2 linked regions of the Bombyx mori genome follow. The protein of the gene in region 1 purifies or fractionates together with the protein of each later gene. This does not show direct contact. Links are inferred from orthologs where the notes say so. Each region holds a gene or a part of one and is shown on either strand. Other genes may lie near its edges.

The links. Proteins that work in one complex are often made in the same cells at the same time.
Region 2: the proteins of protein NDUFAF4 homolog (region 1) and NADH dehydrogenase-ubiquinone Fe-S protein 2 purify together in Homo sapiens (co-immunoprecipitation; 3 studies listed by BioGRID and IntAct, with this or other methods). This does not show direct contact. The link is inferred for Bombyx mori from reciprocal best matches to the Homo sapiens genes NDUFAF4 and NDUFS2.

The regions. Positions count from the first base shown.
Region 1 is NC_085126.1:4,813,532-4,817,559, reverse strand, and holds protein NDUFAF4 homolog, read right to left. Parts: upstream 2,517-4,028; 5' UTR 2,217-2,516; coding exon 1,569-2,216; 3' UTR 549-1,568; downstream 1-548. UniProt on the Homo sapiens protein: Involved in the assembly of mitochondrial NADH:ubiquinone oxidoreductase complex (complex I). May be involved in cell proliferation and survival of hormone-dependent tumor cells. May be a regulator of breast tumor cell invasion.
Region 2 is NC_085129.1:20,060,761-20,064,820, forward strand, and holds the start of NADH dehydrogenase-ubiquinone Fe-S protein 2, read right to left. Parts: upstream 2,872-4,060; 5' UTR 2,859-2,871; coding exon 2,764-2,858; intron 2,135-2,763; coding exon 2,019-2,134; intron 635-2,018; coding exon 525-634; intron 1-524. Other genes in the region: kanadaptin, read right to left, coding at 3,947-4,060. UniProt on the Homo sapiens protein: Core subunit of the mitochondrial membrane respiratory chain NADH dehydrogenase (Complex I) which catalyzes electron transfer from NADH through the respiratory chain, using ubiquinone as an electron acceptor. Essential for the catalytic activity of complex I.

The sequences.
Region 1 (4,028 bases):
CGAATAGGTTGGGAAACGACGAAAAAAATAATTCAATATGGAAATACTTGCACAAAAACACGGGAAACAATTTTTTTAGTACAATCGCGACAAAACACTCAGGTCTGCTGAAGAACGACCCAATCAATTTTCTACTGCACGCTCCATTCTCTCTTGACTTTTGCTGGGACTTACTAAGAAGGAAACACCCACTGTGAAGATAAACTTTTGGTTTCAAGTACAATGATTTAAAATAGATGGTACTATATTTTTCTGCATTGTTTCTAAGCTGACCTACTCTTACCATTTCAAGGTAAAACAACCTTAGCATAAAATGTAGTCCACACGGGCAAAACTCCAGACAAAAAATTAACAGATTCTAATCGTGTGCTACTTATGATAAAGCTTTTAAGTAAAATAATATAAAAATAAACATCTCTATTGCTTACTGATAAACTACTGCCTATATACTAAATAAAACCTTTAATATTCATGAGCCACTTATTGTCTTACTTAGATTTACTATGGGATAAGTGAGCATTTTGAATGAGTCAATTTGAATAAAAATCTTTTTATGCTAAGAAATTCATTTTATTTATCACTGTCTACATACAACTAGAGATTTAACAAATAAATTAACAACAATTTTATGGTATAAGAAATTAAATTTGGTTGAATAACAATAGTTGCCATCTTTGAAAAGGTAGTTTACCTGGCACAATGATAATAAATCGAGGGATGAAAAGCAATTAGGCTTAAACAACATCTTTGTAGCTATCTTTACTAGAGAACCATTTAAAGTTTAAAATTTTAACAAAAAATGTCATAACAAAAAACTTCTTCAGCTATTTGAATGGCATAAACTAAATGAAGTTCAATTAAAAACAATTGTTTGTGAATAGATGGAGAAAAATCCCCTGATTCCGAATATGTATATAACTCAATATGAGCCTAAATGTTGCTTAAACTAAATAGCCTTTCTTTCACCTCTCAAAATGATTTCAACCAAAAATTAACATTGAAATTATGCTTTTGAGCTGTGGCATGTAGTATGTTGAAAATCAAGTCACTTGTAAGGTCTATAGTCTCAAGTGGCATTAGGCAATCACCTTTTAAAAAATTTTTGGGTTCAATTTAATGAAAAGAACATAAATGTTTTTGCTTAGCTTAGCACATTAATATTGTTTCCTATTTATATCTTTCTATCTATCTTTCAGCCTATAGGCGTCCACTGGTTTTAATTTTTGTTTCCTTGCATTTTTACTTTTATCTTTTATAAAATTTCAACTAGGTTTTATTTGATATTAAATGCAAAGGTTTTCATTTCAAAATGTAACTAAAAATAAATATTGAAATGTATCTGAAAAAAGTCAATGTAAGTAATTGCAATTTTATTTTCAGAACAAACTGAGATAGAACTTTGAAGTTTTATTTATATTTATTACATGCAAATGTTCCAAGCGGAATGTTTCAAACAAACTTATTTCAAATATTTTTGTTCATCTTACAAGAAATAATAATATTTATTAATCAATTTAAGCTTTTCAACTGAGTAACATTAACTACTTTATAAGAATGAATTAAAACACCTAACTTTTCTTTTGTCTTAATGTTTTAGCGTCCAACATACTGTTTTCTTCAATTGCCTTCTTTTGTGATTCGATAATTTCTTTTTTCAAATGAGCTGGTCCTGCAAACATTGCTGGAGTTTTCTTGGTTTCAGGTATATAAATTTCAAAAGTTTTAAAATATTTTAATATGCTTTCCACGTCTTCCAGCTTCAGTTTATATTCAAATGCTATTTTATCTGGACTAGCTTCTTTGCTGTCTATTTGATGAGCGGAAATAAAGGTCACTACTTGTCTAAGTGTAGCGCGTCCATATTTAATTTTTTCCGGTTCTCTAAATCCAAATTCAAAATCTTCGACTAATTTCCGGTCCTGAGGCAAAGGCCTTACCTCGCTTTGTTTTTTTCGTAGTTCCCGCGTAACGTCATCTTCAGACCGACCGTAAGATGTTACATAAACATCCTTCAGTCTATCGTCAAGCGCAGGATCTTTTTTATCTAATTTTTCGTCAATATTCGGGTCAGCTTCTAAAGTTCGTTTCAAATCTTCAATATTTCCTGGATATCTGGGGGCCGGTGTAGGTTTTTCTTTTGAAATCACACGATGAGCTCTGTTCTCGATGTTAAAAGCTTTGACCGGTCTTAATGCCTTCGCTACTAAAGCACCCATCTCAGATGGCTTTAGTTCATTTAATAATCTCTAAAGTTTTATGTTTTCATAAAAATATCATTTTAATTAAAATATTACTTGTTATTTCATCACAAATACAATCGCATAGAGGTTAGGCAGCATTTTGACATGTAAAAATGTCTTTGACAAGTACCGTAACTGTCAATCAGTTCTTTTTTTAAATAACTATTAAGCACCAGCACCTCTTAAGTGCTTATATTGAACACGTGTTATGACTTACGTACCTAAAGACCGTTATCTACATACATACATTGAATCGTATTTATTAAATGTACTAACATTTGAGTCTTGATAGAGCCTCTTTTAACGCGAGCCTCGATGATCCCTTCTCAACGGACTTCTCGGCAGGTGAAGGAGGCGTATTCGTAGCTCGTGTTTGTTTACTTAATACACGAGTAGGTGATGGACTGGGGCTACGTCCGAGCCTACGTCTGTTCTGTGTTAAATTTCCCTTTTGTGTCGTGTTAGAAGCTGTAAATTGAAATTTACTGCAAGTTTACAAAAAAAAATAATTTGACGGATTCTATCATCCTACCTATAATCTATGAAGAAAAAAAACAGGTTTGTTTATTTGTTAAATGTTACTAGCATTCGCGTATCTCTTCCTTGATTAGGTTTAATTTTTATTTATTTTTGGCACTCCAGTAACATTTTTGTCAAAGTACCAAAAATATACGACAGGTGGCGCTTATGTAGTTAAAAAGTGTTTCTAATATTATTATGTACATTGGCAATGAAATTATACTACATACTAATAACATTGAAAATCGTACCTGCATTAAAAAACGACGGTGTCATGTGAGCTGCGTAGCTAGGAGCTGTATTCGTTGGTATTCGTATGGTGCACCCCGGTGTCACTGTGACTGTTGAACTCAACTGTCTTCCTCGGTGATCATTAAATATACTACTCCGCATCAAAAAATTCTGAAAATCACAGAAACATTGATAATCTACCTTAATTATGTATGTATCTATTAAGCAACATAGAAATCAATTGATTGACCAACATAATGTACAGGCAGAATAATTACTAAAAAACCTTTCTTACCCTAGCGTCGTGTACATTTTTCACCATGTGAACAGGATACATTTCGTTTGAAGAAATACGATAGGTTGATTTTATGTTAGATTCCTTTAATTAAAACAGTTAATTAAAAGACGGAAATTTGCGAAACTGTGCCCAGGGTCGAAAATACTTACTTTACTTTTTACATTTGGCTGAATCGTAGAATTAGAACGAGCGCTCGAAGTTCGCGATTGAGGACGAGGAGACCTCGTAGAGACAGATTCTAAATCACTTTTTGGTATAATATCACTGGTGAAATCACTGTAACAAATCCATGTGACCTACGGTTTAATAGACACAGTACCCTACTAACCCCACAGTTCATTAAATATAAGTTCAGAAATGTGATTACCCTTTATTTTTTATATTATTTATCGATGAAATAGGTTTAGCTGATTTTATTCGCCCCTCGAGTTGTTCTTTCTTGACAGTCTTGTTAATATCTAAAATTAACAAAGTAATTTTGTTCGTTGTCCCAACATTTTCACGATGAAATGAGATGGATAGATATTTATTTTTAAAAAAATATGATATTAAGTGCATTTCATAGAACTTTAAATATAGATTAACACTACCTTGAATATAGTAATAGTCTAATAAAACACCAACCGTGTCTACAAAATTGCAGCAGTTGTTTAATTGATAATTGTTGGGGAAACACTTCGCGTAACGCACCGACAACTTCCATAAGCTATCATTGCAAATTTTAATACAAGGCTTGCAAC
Region 2 (4,060 bases), on another chromosome or scaffold:
TGTCTATGGGTTCCGGTAACCTCTTAACGCCAAGTGGGATGTGAGCTCGTCCACCCATCTATGCAATAAAAAATAAAAAAGAGGCCAAGAATGATGATTTTATAACAGCACCAACATCGGACTGCTCTGAGAAACTGAGTTTAATATTCTCCAAATAAATTCGCATTAAAAGTGAACAATTTCCAAAAATATTCGAAATTTAGTTATTATGCGGAATTATTTGGTATCACCAGTATTTTTCTCATAGATCATCTGTCAAAGAGCGTAGTTTAGATTTTTTTTTTTTTTTTTACTATTTACAAAATTGTTTACTATTAACAAAATTAATACATAATTTTATCTTACTATAAAAGACAAATAATGTAACTGGTAAAAAATAACTAATAAATGTTGCAAAGATGATTAATATTAAACCTTTAAAACACTCCTGTAAAATTTGTAAGTTTTGAGATTATACAGTTTTAATGTGAGAAGACGATACATGCATCAGCTAATTCAACTGCTGATGTTCCAAAATATCTCACCTCTCCGTCCAGTTCCAGTACGAGACGCAGCACCCCGTGAGCGGCTGGATGCTGGGGCCCGAAGTTCAGGATCATGTTGCGTACTTTCTTTTCGGCCGGTTTTATGATGCCTGAAAGATTATTATTTTTTAATATTTTTATCATTTGAGGGCAGAGTCTGCCTCATTCTAAGCGATTAGGTGATAAACACTTTCTTTATTGGATAGAGTAGTTAAATGCTGCAGTCTCGCTACCTTATACAGGGTATACAAGTCAAAACAATAATATGTAATTAATGAATCTCTATTACTATATATCGAGTGGTGAAATGCTATTTCGTTTAAGGAAAATTACGCTTAATACGCGACATTTATCTTTGTTATTAAATGGATTTGGTATCAGCATCAACAGTTCAATATTTTTGTTTGAACTTCAATTAAGTTTACTCCATTCAAATAACTGAAGGAATTTTTTGTTTTCTCGAAATTTTGAACTTGAAATGGCTTTCCTGTAAAGTCGCAAAAATGTCGCTTAAACCAAATAGACTTTCACCCCTCGATATTATAACCTCCAAAATAGAGAGAGTTGATTCTAACAAAATCCTCTAGAATATCATTTAAACTAGGTCATTAAATATAATACAAGCACTTAATCCAAGAATGTATGTTCATACTATCCAAAATAAATAATGGATACAGTAAAAACTGTAATACTAAAAAATTATCATTCATTAAACTACGGAAAAAATGACACGACTGACGATGAAAAGTTTAACTAACTTTTGTTTTCTCTTTGATTTTAGTGGGTTGTAAGTTAGAGACATAATTACACTTACTTTGACAGTTTATTATGTTTTAACACATCACATTATATTTTAATAACGTTAATATGGGCGATGGAGGTTTAGGCACATTTAGTCCAGAGGTCTTTATTTAATATAGTGGCTGGCCAGAATATGCAGAGTATCGACCTCAAGCACTTATTTACACCTGCAATTGGTTGGTGATTGTCTTACGTCACTCTCCAGGTCTCACTTCCAAACAGGAGAAACTCTGGCTTGCTCCTCCTGAAGAGTCACAGCGATTTTTTTAAGACTTCCAGTTTAAAGGTAATCTAGCCACACATGTCGTTGAACAGGACACACTCTACGAGTTTACGGCGCAGCAGAGTCAAAGTATCATCAATCGCGTTTGAGTGGCAACCACTTGGCAGGAGAAGACCTGATCGCCCTGTACATAATGGCACTGTGGAGCGAGATCAGGACTGCCAGCATGATCTGGAGCGTGATCATAAAAAAAAAACATAAGCACAAGACAGGGTCAAGTGGAGACAGCTTGTGAGGGCCCTATGTACCAGCAAGCCTAAGATAGCAACAACAACAATGTTAATATGATGAAAACGGATTTAGATGTGAATTTGTTATGATTGATTATGGTCAGTACTAATTTTACTAAATGGGTGCTAGAGGTATTTGCGGCATAACAAAAATATTTATGTGCCACATTAATTACTTACTGTTATAAGGAACAGGTTTCAATGATTTGGTCGACTCATCAGGATACATGACTGGCCCTTCAAATTGTTTCACAAAGTCTGGATCAGGGAACCAACGGTGCCCATCTCTTTGGGAGCTGTAAAAGTTCTTATAGTGAGCTCTGTTAGCCATTAAGCTTTCGATTTCTAGACATTAAAAGCATATCCAATCCCGAACACTAGAGCAGGGATTTTTTTAACTTATTTGTTTTTTTTTATATCTCTAAAAATAAACATATGAATTTAGTAACTCTACAACAATAACTCTACTTATATCTCGTGTATAAAATGACTTAAAGAGTGCTTTTGGGAGATAACTATATTTGCAACACATTTGGGATACTGTTGTACCCTATTATTTAAATTCTTACTCAGGGCTGTAAGATTTCCGGTTAGAAAGTCGTTCATCTTTAGTTGAGATCAGTATCATTAAATTTGGTTGTGGAAGACTATGTGTGAAATGTAACAAAATATTATGAATTTAGTTATAAGAGTAATGTTAGATACAGAGTCGAGGCAGATGGAGTCAAAGTTGTTATTGGGTTCCTTTAATTACAGATGCGAATTAAACGAAGTAGTTGTAAAATTATTGAGTTTGCAATTGTTTATTTTGTTTGAATTCATAAATAAGTTAAAGTGAATTAACCTACAATGTTACATAATTTTTTTTTCACTTTTGCTCAATAGTTGAACACACTCATTTTATAATTCTGTATTTAACACTCACTTCACATTATGAACAGCGGGAATGTTCTTTAATAAGACCGATTTTTGGCCGAAATTAGGAGATTTTCGCAACAAAACATTGAGAAGGGAGGCCATTTTTGACAACTCCGTTCGAAACGGAACGTTTCGTTTCTCGTCAACTTCTCATGTTGTCAAAACGCCAATATAGATCAATTTGTTTCCGGCCATAAGTTACTTGAACATTTAACCACCTCGAAAATCGAACCATAATTTTATTCTGATTCAAAATCAAGTTTTCAAAAGTTTAAGGAAGTACAGTAAGAACAAAAACTAGTAGAAATTTCTAGAATATACAATGTTAATTCTGTTCGCAATCACGAAAATTGTAATGATACAGCTTGGAGCCAGGTAGAGAGATTAAAATGTCGAGAGCCTTAAGAGAGAGGCAAGCTCAAAACAATATAATTGTAAAGAAGATATTTAATGACCAAACAGTTATGGTATGAACAGAAGTGGGTGTTTTTTTTTGCATAGATGGTGCCAAGTGGTTACCGGAGCCTATAGACATCTACAACGTAAATGCCACCACCTATCTTGAAACAGGAGTTCTAACGTTTCAAAATAGTTACAACGGCTGCTCCACCCTTCAAACCATTAGTGCTCCACGGTAGATACCTATAGTGTAGGGTGTAGACGAAGCGGTATTAGAAGGCGTCGGCCTCAGCACTTTCGATGAACGAACCTGTTACATTTTGACGTTGCTCTTACTGGAGACACTAGAATAATGACTGCACACGGGCGCTATACGAGTTAAAGACGTCTTTGGGTATGAATAGTTTCTTTAAGGGGGCACCTACTGAACTCCCATTCACGGAAAGTTTATTTTTATGCATGATAATGCACGCTCACGTGTTGCAGCCGTGGTTGTCAATTACATTCGAAACATTGAAATTGTAAATGAATGTTATTGAACAACCAGCGAGCTCAAGACCCAAGTCCCATAGAGCATGAATGGAGACAAGTATGGAAGAGAAAAATAATCTAAGCTAATTTATAAAATATATTAAAGAAGGAAAAATGTTTTTAACTTTCGCAGTTATATACAGCATAAAGTTTATTATTTATCGGACTACTTTATAGACTATTTTGGGCGGTGTACTTCGAACAGACGTCGTCAATAAGACAAAATGAAAAACAAAACATTTTTAATAATTTATTCTTAATTATTCCTCCATGATTTCATTACAATCTCGAGTACTGTAATAATCGTCTGGTATCACGTATCCATCGGGAGGCCTCATCGGACCGAACGTTCTGGGTCTCTCGTCTCCCTCTCT